Daphnia pulex: one gene and its partner. The protein of the gene in region 2 purifies or fractionates together with the protein of the main gene of each other region. This does not show direct contact. Links are inferred from orthologs where the notes say so. Each region holds a gene or a part of one and is shown on either strand. Other genes may lie near its edges.

Region 1 (4,231 bases), on a different chromosome or scaffold from region 2:
GATAGACAGTCCCCAGAAGCTAGCCCCCGCGGATTGGGATCGAGTCGTAGCCGTCTTTGTTATGGGCCCTGCTTGGCAATTTAAAGGTTGGCCATGGACTGGAAACCCTGTAGAAATCTTCGTTCAAGGTTTGTTGTGCTAAAATACGCCATGATTTCAATTCGAGATTTAAACTCTTTTCGTTGAAACAACAGTCTCCGCCTTTCATATTAAATGGGACGACATACCTTTGGATCAGAATGTAGCAAAATGGGCTGTAAATGTGATTTCTTTGTCCCGAACTAAACGACATCTTGATCGCGCTGCCCTAATGACGTTCTGGGAGAAACTCGACAGGTAAGCATTCCATGTTCTTAGTCTTTTATTCTCCTTGCATAAATATTTTCTATTTTATCCAGGCACATGTTAAAAAACAAACAACATCTTCGATTTTGAGCATCACTTTCAACGAGTTATGGGGTATCAAAATCTTTCTTACTAATACGCGTTATCTTTCGAAAATTTGTTGGCACCTTCTGTAATGTCTTTAATTTTGATTTTGTGATACACGGACCTGTTCACATCCAATCAAAATACTAATCCAATTTTAAGGCTCTTTCTTATCCAATTGGTGTTAAAATTTTTTAAGGATTGTTGTTTTTGGTGATAGGCTGGAACTAAATGGCAGACGCCGAGGACACTTTTAAAGAATATATTCCTAGTGGTAAAGTGGATCTCACCAGCCTTCAGCTGAGTTGGAAATTGCTTACAGGATCATCAGAATTTCATTGGCAACACTGAGAAGACGAAGACAATGTTTCATAACTATGTAGTTGATTGCCAAACAAAAATATCAGTCATTTTTTTATGCACAACAGAGTTAGCTTGAATATTTAAAAGAAAGAACGCACTCGATGATTTCCCGTGAAACAAAGTGTATTCTGATCTTCTTTCCATCTGATTTTCTCCGTCAAGATGGAAAGAAAACGCACGATGTGAAATTGCTTCCTACAAAAGAGCGCTATTAAAGGGCTCGGCAACAGCAAAGTGAGAACATCCAGTAACCCAACACTAATCCTCGCGAAATGAATGGACAACTAAACTTGCATGTAAAAGCATAAGGTGAAGAAAGCTGAAGAGCGTGAAAGGAAACAGAGAAAGCATTGGTCGACTGGAGAGAAAACAAGTCAAGAGAAATAAACAATTCAAAAAAATCAGTTCACTAAGCTTCGAACGCGTTATCAACTGAGGGGCCTACAAAAGAAGCATTCTAATTTTGGGTGACGTTCTATCGAAAAAAAAACGTCGTTTGTCGAAGGGATTTTGTGTTGGCTTCCAACCCACTAGAAACAGACTTAGGTAGGGTCCACTATGTTGGATGGTATGGGTATAGCAGTTGTTTCCCGTATTTTTCGACATTAATTTGTTGAAGCCCATCAGCTCCGTTATCGGCTCGTTCGTCTGGACACCGCTCTCTTGCTTCAACGGCAGATTGCTAGTGCTGCTTATGGTGTGCGACGTTGAAGGCCATTTGATAGATGGGCATAGGTCTTTCGAGCTGTCAGTTGATGAACGTTGGATTTCCCCTTTTCTCTTTTATCTTTAACTGCAAGATGAATTCAAATACGGTCGGCTGCCGCCAGGCGTCGTCATCGTCAATTTTCTTAGGGTCTTTTTTATTACTGCAACGCCTTACAGTTTTCAGTATGGCTAAGAAAAGGTCGGCATTAGATTGAAAACAACAGGCTCAATCAAAGAGTAAGACAAATTCGCTTCATCAACCTACCTGCGTGAATTGAGAGCCATGGCGGAAGAAGGCTGAACGGCCCCCTTGATACGTCGAGTCTTGAGAGAGCAGTCCATCCATTTGCGACTGATAATCTGATGACATATAGGCGTCTTGTGACGGATCTAACTGGGATAGACCCGATTGCGATAGTGCTCCGAAGCCCGAGACCGTCTGCGACATCCCCTACAAGAACATTTAAAATGGATAAGCATACCTTCGCGACCCTTTCAACTTGGCATTATTTAGTACCTGTGACATTCCTTGGGTGAGAGCCATGCCACCCTGGCTGAAAGGCTGCGTTGATACATCCTGTGTATTCTGCGAAAGTGACTGTGTAAACAGCGAAGAACTTCCCTTGCTTGCGGCTTTGCCAGCGCGAGGCCCACTTCCTCGGGCATTGTCTTTTGGCCTCTGATTGGATTTGGATGAACCATGCATCCCTTGTTGCTGCTGGCCGTGGAATCTAGGCGGGACGTGCGTCATGTTCATAAAGACACCCAAGGGAACGGGCATAGCAGAAAGAGCGGCCTGTGCCCTCTCTGGAGCAATGTAACCGATTGGATCGTGCAAACGGCTGTACGGATCTCCAACATTGGCCGTGGCTCGAGGTATGTAAGTATTCATACCATTGTTGTTTGGTGGTTGACCCCCACCCGAACGATCATAGACGGAACCAGGAACCATGGCCTTTAAATGATAAGATTATTTTAAAATAGAATACAAGATCCTTGACAGACAAGCACTACATAATTTGAAATAATTCTTTTGTGAATACGAACATACCTGGCGTGCGTCGTAGACGGCTGTGGACATGAAATGCTGACCAGGATTAAAACTATTAATTGGTTTCTTTGGCTTGGGAAACTGCATCATGGATTCTTTGAGGTTGTTGAGAGCTCCCTCAGTTAGAACATGATTTTCTTTGTAAAAGTGAAGCAGGTGATTCCATACAGGCTGCTTGGCCAACACTTTAGGATTGCCTACAATAATGATTCCGTAACGGGCGCGAGTCATAGCAACGTTCAAACGACGGGGATCGTTGAGAAAACCGATTCCTTGGTTCTCGTTTGAGCGAACACACGACATGATGATGAGGTCTTTCTCGCGACCCTGGAAAGCATCTACACTAGCTATTTCGATATCCTTCAAAAACAAAATACAAATTTAAAGATTTCGTAAAAGGTTTTGAAATATGAATTCCCTTACTTGGTATAATTTAGCATGTAGTGATCCTTGATGTTGCATGTACTGTACAAGATAAGCTCTTTGTCCTTCGTACGGTGTGATGATGCCAATTTGTTCTGGTTTGACTCCGGATCGAAGAAAACGTGTAGCAATCTTTTCCACATTTGACGCTTCCGTTCTGTTCAAATAGGACGTACCCGATCCAGCAATTTCCTCCTGACCCAATGTAACGTAGAAGAACATGGGCCTATCTGGCATTGGCCAAGGGAAATCTACCCCGCGAAGGATTCGGTCTTCCGCGCAAACACCATTCTGTAGTGATCCCTCGTAAAAGAAGTTGGAAGGAAACTCGGACAACCTTGGGTGCATACGGTACTGTACTTCCAAACGGAAGGGCCGGATGCCAAGTACTACCAGTCTTTCAAACAGTGATTGCGAGAGACCAGCTTTGGCAGCTGGTTTACACATCACCACTGGGCCCAACTGACAATGATCTCCAACCAGAATGAGCTAAACACCCAAAACATTGAATTAATAAAAATCTAAAACACATAATACCAAGGGATTCTTACCTGTCTTGCTCCTAGGACGACAGGGACCATGCATTCAGGTTCAGTAGCTTGCATTGATTCATCGATCAAGATAGATGCAAACTTAATGCGAGCCAAGCGAACATCACCAGCACCAACACAAGTGCACGCTAATACATCTGCTGCTTCGAGTAGCTCTCGTTCTGCTTGTCGCTTTAACATGCGGTATCGCTTTTCATCTCCCTGTGAAAGCTCACCGACTTCCTCCTTAAGCTGGACCAGCTTTCGCAACTCTGAAGCTCTATAATAGAAGTTAACTTTAGCCCCACGATGACACATTTTCGCAAAGTAAATTCTTACCCTTCAAGACATCGAACTTGATTATGCAAGGCCAAGAACGAGACGGGTGAATCAATGGCCTCTCTGGATTTCGCGCACAAACGGACCACTTTCAGACCAGTTCGATGAATCTTTTCAGTCAATTGGTCAACAGCAATGTTGGACGGAGCGCAAACTAATACTGGCCCTGATCCTAGTTTAGCCAAATGGTACACGATGGTGGCCGATGTAACCGTTTTCCCGGTACCAGGAGGTCCTTGAATTAATGTCAATGGACGTTGAACTGCTTGTTTTACAGCAAAAACCTGTAAAGCGTAACATTATGAGATAAGCAATGAATGTTCTATGTTCTATCAAGTAACAACTAAATTTTATACCTGAGATCGATTCAGCTCAGGCAAGTCAGGAG
Region 2 (5,181 bases):
GGTGGGTTCAAAACGCGCTAGAGAGAAAAATAAAGAGGCCTCAACCGTAGAATGGATTAAAAGGAAGGTACGGTGTACCCTGCAGTACACATCCGCCGAGGGAAAAAGAAACGCAGGAGCGAGAACAGCCGCTTTTAAACGACGTCGACGGCGCCTATAGTTTTGGATTGCCTCCCCCTCCTTCTTTTTTCAACCAGCAATTCAAAGAGGTGGTGGTGGAGGGGTGAGAAAGTAGGGTATAGGGTGGTGAGGGAGGGAAGGACGCCGCGGCTGCTGCTGCTGCTTTTTTTTTTTTTATCTTCAAGGGTCGAGGACAAAGAGGTTTTCTACCGAGCAGCCTCAGGCACAATATATTCTACCCCTACAATATCGTGACGGGCTAAAAATGAGCACTGCAGAACCATCTAGCGACGGCCGGAAGTGAGTAGACAACCTTGGTGTTAGGAACTATCACGACTACTCTTGGAACACGGTGCCACTCTCTGCAGGTGAAACATTGACCCACCCGCCAGCGCTGATAGTACCTATTCAAAACAGCCTTGAGGACATACAGATGAGCAAGGGGAGGGAGGAGGAGGCAAAATAAACAACTACAACGAGAGAAGTTTAAATAACTTTCGAGGAGGAGGTGGCTCCTCAATGATAGTCTCTAGATTGTTGATTCTTGTCACGTTCACGAAACCGCCACGCTTTCTGTGAGGCAGAATCGTAACTAATATCGGCGTGACCGCGTGAAACTGTTGAGGAGGGATAGGTACACTGCACCCAAGCACCCGTACAACTGTTTGAATATTTTACTAACTATGATGCTCTATACTCACCAATTGAAAGAATTAAAGTGGAAGTAAACGAGTCCTAGGCCATAAAGATAGTTGGTATCTCTCCAGTGGTCAGCTCTTAGAGAGCGGAATTTCTGGTAGGCTGACATTGCTGCATGGAAATGAAAAGTTGGCATACAGAGAATTACAATGCAGTAATTGAACAAAATAAACCTTTTGGGTAGTCTTCAATGAGAATGTTAAAATGGCCCAATTTGCAGTAGGTTTTTGGATCAATATTGATTCCCTTCTCTGGGCTATCTGATTCATTTTTTAGCTGTTGGTGAGCTTGACTCAGCATCCGTTCCAAATACTGAATTGCCTATAATTCATCATAGTTGAGATTTTTCAATTACAAAGAATATGAACTTAATCTTACAAACCTTCACTACTAAAACTTTCTTTGCAGCATGTTCAGGATTGTTGAGTTGCAGGAAACCATACTGACGGCTGAAACAAAGTAACGGTGTGAAAAAAACAACACAGATTTTTTTAATACAATGCAATATACCTATCAAGTTCTGATAAAATTTGAAGCTCCTGTGGAGTCAAGTTGATATCTACAGTATCTTTATCTTGTTGCGTTTGTGTCATCTTCATTGACAACCTCGAAATCGGGCAAGGGTAATTCAATCCAAATTTTCAAAACGAAACGCCTATCGTTAGCGTCGATCGGTGAGCAAATGAGCTACAACTTGAAGAAAAGTTCTTCGATTTTTATCCACAAAATATTAACTCCTTTCCATCAGATAAAAACTTTTGGCATCAATCTTGATTTAAAACACAAAAATATCATCATAGTTTTTATAAAAAGTTATTATTTTTTTTTGCAATGACAGCCAAAACAGACACAAGCCTAATGCAGGGTTGCCTCTGTATAAAGTGTAAAAGTGTAATTTCTAAAATTGAACATCCTTATTCATTTAGGATTTGTTTGGTGCATTCGTTCAAACTGGATAGTTAATTTTTTAAATGGAAGTACTATTTTTTTATTGGGTATAGGTTATATTTCTTGATAATTTAAGATGCTGTGGCACTTGTGGAGTTGTGGGTGGTTGTGGCCTTGTATGTATGCTGCATGATATGGGAATTTGAGATATTCTAATTTCTAATTTCCGACGGGTTATCGTTTCAAATGCCTTTTTGCTCGTGCGGCTTGATTATAAATCTAATTAAAAGTATAATTATCTTAGATGTACATGTATAATCTTGCCTAACTATAAGGTGTTGAGAAATGAGAAGTGATGGATATGTAGTTATGTATACTTGTTTTTTGTACCCTAGTTCGGGCGAGCTCCCGGCTCCGGGAATAAGTCTCATCCGGCCGTATGATCTTTCGTTGACCTTGCGAATATTAGAAATGCGAAATGCCTATTTTTAAGCAATAGAGACTGCTTTCTTATCGTCTTTAACATCTACCAGGGTTTTAATTTCAGATGTTTTGCAAGGAAACTTAGCAACATTTTGGAAGTCCATGGCCTTATTAACCTGGCCACAGATAAAGACCACGTCGTCTTTATCTATGACCTGGCCTTATGGGAGTTATGGCCATGGATGGACATTTTGTAAAATAAAAATAACACTAGAAATGGATCGGGGATTCGGGGTTATAGATGTATTTAAAATATTTATAAACTTATTCTGGTTATATTAGCACTATGTTAGCACTCTGGCTGGCATGCAGCTGAATGGAGCTGGTTAGCAACGCAGTTTGTAATCCATGTTTAATGTGGTTAGAAGTTGCTTCTAATTCAAATGGCGCGAGAAAACCCACCCCCCGCTTTATTTTCACCCGAGGCCGAGACAACAAAGTCAACAACTACGTGAACTGAATCACTGTTTGCTCTTTTAGAGTGTAAAAAGTAAAAACATTGTATTTTGTTGGGTTTTAATACTTATTTTTCTATAAGAAATTACTGAGCTTACAATGAGTCCAAGAAAAGCTGTTAAAACAGAAAAAAATTCTGATGGTGAAGAAACTGTGTCTGAAAAGACTCATCCTAGCACTCGTATGCTACGAAAACGCGAATGGGATTCTGCCAGGTATAAATGCTTGCTCATTAAATAAATTATCAGTTCCTGAAGAAACTAACCATATTTATTTTTTGTGGCTAAAGCATTATAAGTCCAGAGAGGGGTCCAGCTCAGAGGAAAGAAATCAAACGAGAAAACATGCAATTGAAGCGCTCTCTGACAACTTCTTATGCCCAAACAGAAAAGAAAAATTTGATTAAGACAGAAAAACAGTCATCTTCTGCTTTGGCGGAGTTAAAAACTGCAGTCAAAGATGAGAAAACTGAGGTTGAGGTTGAAGACACAAGTGACAGGAGCTCAACTATTTCCTCCAATGGTGAAGTTGAAGAAGATCCCCTAGTTCTGTCTCGAAGACAGAAACAAATTGATTATGGGAAGAATACCATTGCCTATGACAATTATCTCAAAACTGTACCCAAGTCAGTATTTTAAAGTTACATGTGCAAATCCAAACATTTCATACTAAACTTACAGAAATTTTCCATAGAAATAAAAGAACCAAGGAACACCCCCAAACCCCTAACAAGTACAAAAAGTACAGCCGAAGGGGCTGGGATGGATCCATTAAAGTGTGGAGGAAAATGTTGCATGTCTTTGACACATCTGATGCCAGTAACCCAAAGGAGAAAGAAAATGCAGCTGCTGCAGATAAAGATGTCGAAGACGTCCTTGATTACCTCCCTTTCGACCTAATCGACGACGACGTTGTTTTATAAACATGTTGTCTACACTCTTCATCATCGAATTTTATGTGAAATCTTGCGCCCGTTTATATTGCACTATTAAGAGTGACAAGCAGGTCTTAGTGTTAATTACTTTTGACAACTTCTTTTTTTTTTTTCTTAAGTTCGGCTGCCTAAAGAGCCTCTAATTCTTCGATAATTTTGTTCAACGATCTTCACCGTCTGTACCGTGAAATATGCACCTAATTAAACATGTTCGTCATATGCATTAGCATGTACCATTTATTTGTTACTTGTTTTCAGGTCTAATAGCATTGAGATCATTTTTGAATTGTCTTCCTCCATTCGTTTCTCTAGGCGGCCAAGTCGTTCCTCAATTCTGGCCATCATGCGTTCTTCCATCTCCTTAATTTTCTTGTCTATTATCATCTCGATACTGTCAACATTTTTCCCATCTTGATTGAATCCTTGCATTATTGAGGACAGCAAATGATTAGCGCCAGCAGATTGCCCCGAGAGAGATCGCATTGAAGGGGTAGCTTCCACCGTCACTGCAGAGATCCCATACACCCATACAGTTGTTGCTTCCTTTAGTTTGCAAAACTAAATAAGATGGGGGATATTTAAAATGGATTCAGACAACCTGGCAACCATAGTGTGAAATAGGAACAACCTTCAGAATTATTTCTGACTGCATCTTCTTCAGATCTATTCTGCATTCATACAAAGAAGTGCCTTCTACTTCTTCCAGAAGTTCCCCTCTCACTGTCATCAGATATTCTTCATACTGCCCATGTACTTCTATCATGGGAACCTTGAATTAATTAATTAATCAAAAGAATAATTTGGCAACAGATAAAAAGGAAGATAGATCTGGGCAATACCTCAGATAAAATTTGAAGGGCAGCAAATTTTCTGTTGTTTTTAAGAATAATTTTTAGTGTACAGGGGCCAGAGTCAGGATTCGATTGACTCATATTAAAGCAATTTTCAATACTAGTTTCCTCAGACAATTCAGACAATTGTTCCTTCCACAAAATTTTTGTTCGAACAGCATCAACATTTTCGATCTTCCAAGAGCAATCTATTGTCACTGCTTCGGGATTCATTTCGGCCTGACGTAGGTGTGGTCTGTGTGGAATTCTATGAAAACGTTCTAATACAGAGAAAAAAAACCTGTTATTACATAAATTAATATTTTTGTTACGAATTCCAACAAACTTTATTGAAAATTGAAGAAACCTTCAAAATTTGACGTCCAAAACTTGACGCGCGCGGTAAAGTCAATTGTTTTGCTGATAGATACCCCATCTGGGGAACACCCGACAAACTTGTTTTGTGGCTCGTTGAAGGTGACCCTGCCCTTCGTTCGTTCCCCACACCCGTTTCCTAGTTTATAACATCGGTCAATACCGGCATTGCTACCGTGACTTTGAAACTGAACGCTTGCATTCACTCCAATTTCAAGAAAATGGTTTACAAGATTGTAATGATTCGCCACGGCGAAAGTTCCTGGAACAAGGAAAATCGTTTTTGTGGTTGGTTCGACGCTGATCTCAGTGAAAAAGGTAAATAATCACGTGATTAGTTGATTACGTAAAATTAAAGTCTTAGAGCAGCATATAAAACGTCTAGGGTGGTGAAGG

Evidence for each region.
Region 1: the proteins of histone RNA hairpin-binding protein-like (region 2) and regulator of nonsense transcripts 1-like purify together in Homo sapiens (affinity purification with western blotting; 4 studies listed by BioGRID and IntAct, with this or other methods). This does not show direct contact. The link is inferred for Daphnia pulex from reciprocal best matches to the Homo sapiens genes SLBP and UPF1.

What each region holds. Positions count from the first base shown.
Region 1 is NC_060017.1:7,852,507-7,856,737, forward strand, and holds the end of regulator of nonsense transcripts 1-like, read right to left. Parts: coding exon 4,200-4,231; intron 4,128-4,199; coding exon 3,844-4,127; intron 3,785-3,843; coding exon 3,526-3,784; intron 3,464-3,525; coding exon 2,975-3,463; intron 2,912-2,974; coding exon 2,552-2,911; intron 2,456-2,551; coding exon 2,018-2,455; intron 1,952-2,017; coding exon 1,766-1,951; intron 1,690-1,765; coding exon 1,681-1,689; 3' UTR 898-1,680; downstream 1-897. Other genes in the region: parafibromin-like, read left to right, coding at 1-128, 195-336, 399-435. UniProt on the Homo sapiens protein: RNA-dependent helicase required for nonsense-mediated decay (NMD) of aberrant mRNAs containing premature stop codons and modulates the expression level of normal mRNAs.
Region 2 is NC_060020.1:3,613,781-3,618,961, forward strand, and holds histone RNA hairpin-binding protein-like, read left to right. Parts: upstream 1-1,908; 5' UTR 1,909-2,745; coding exon 2,746-2,861; intron 2,862-2,935; coding exon 2,936-3,271; intron 3,272-3,339; coding exon 3,340-3,568; 3' UTR 3,569-3,803; downstream 3,804-5,181. Other genes in the region: lysine-specific demethylase 6A-like, read right to left, coding at 822-930, 993-1,140, 1,202-1,268, 1,330-1,418; uncharacterized protein LOC124192277, read right to left, coding at 3,818-4,138, 4,209-4,349, 4,420-4,644; phosphoglycerate mutase 1-like, read left to right, coding at 5,007-5,103. UniProt on the Homo sapiens protein: RNA-binding protein involved in the histone pre-mRNA processing.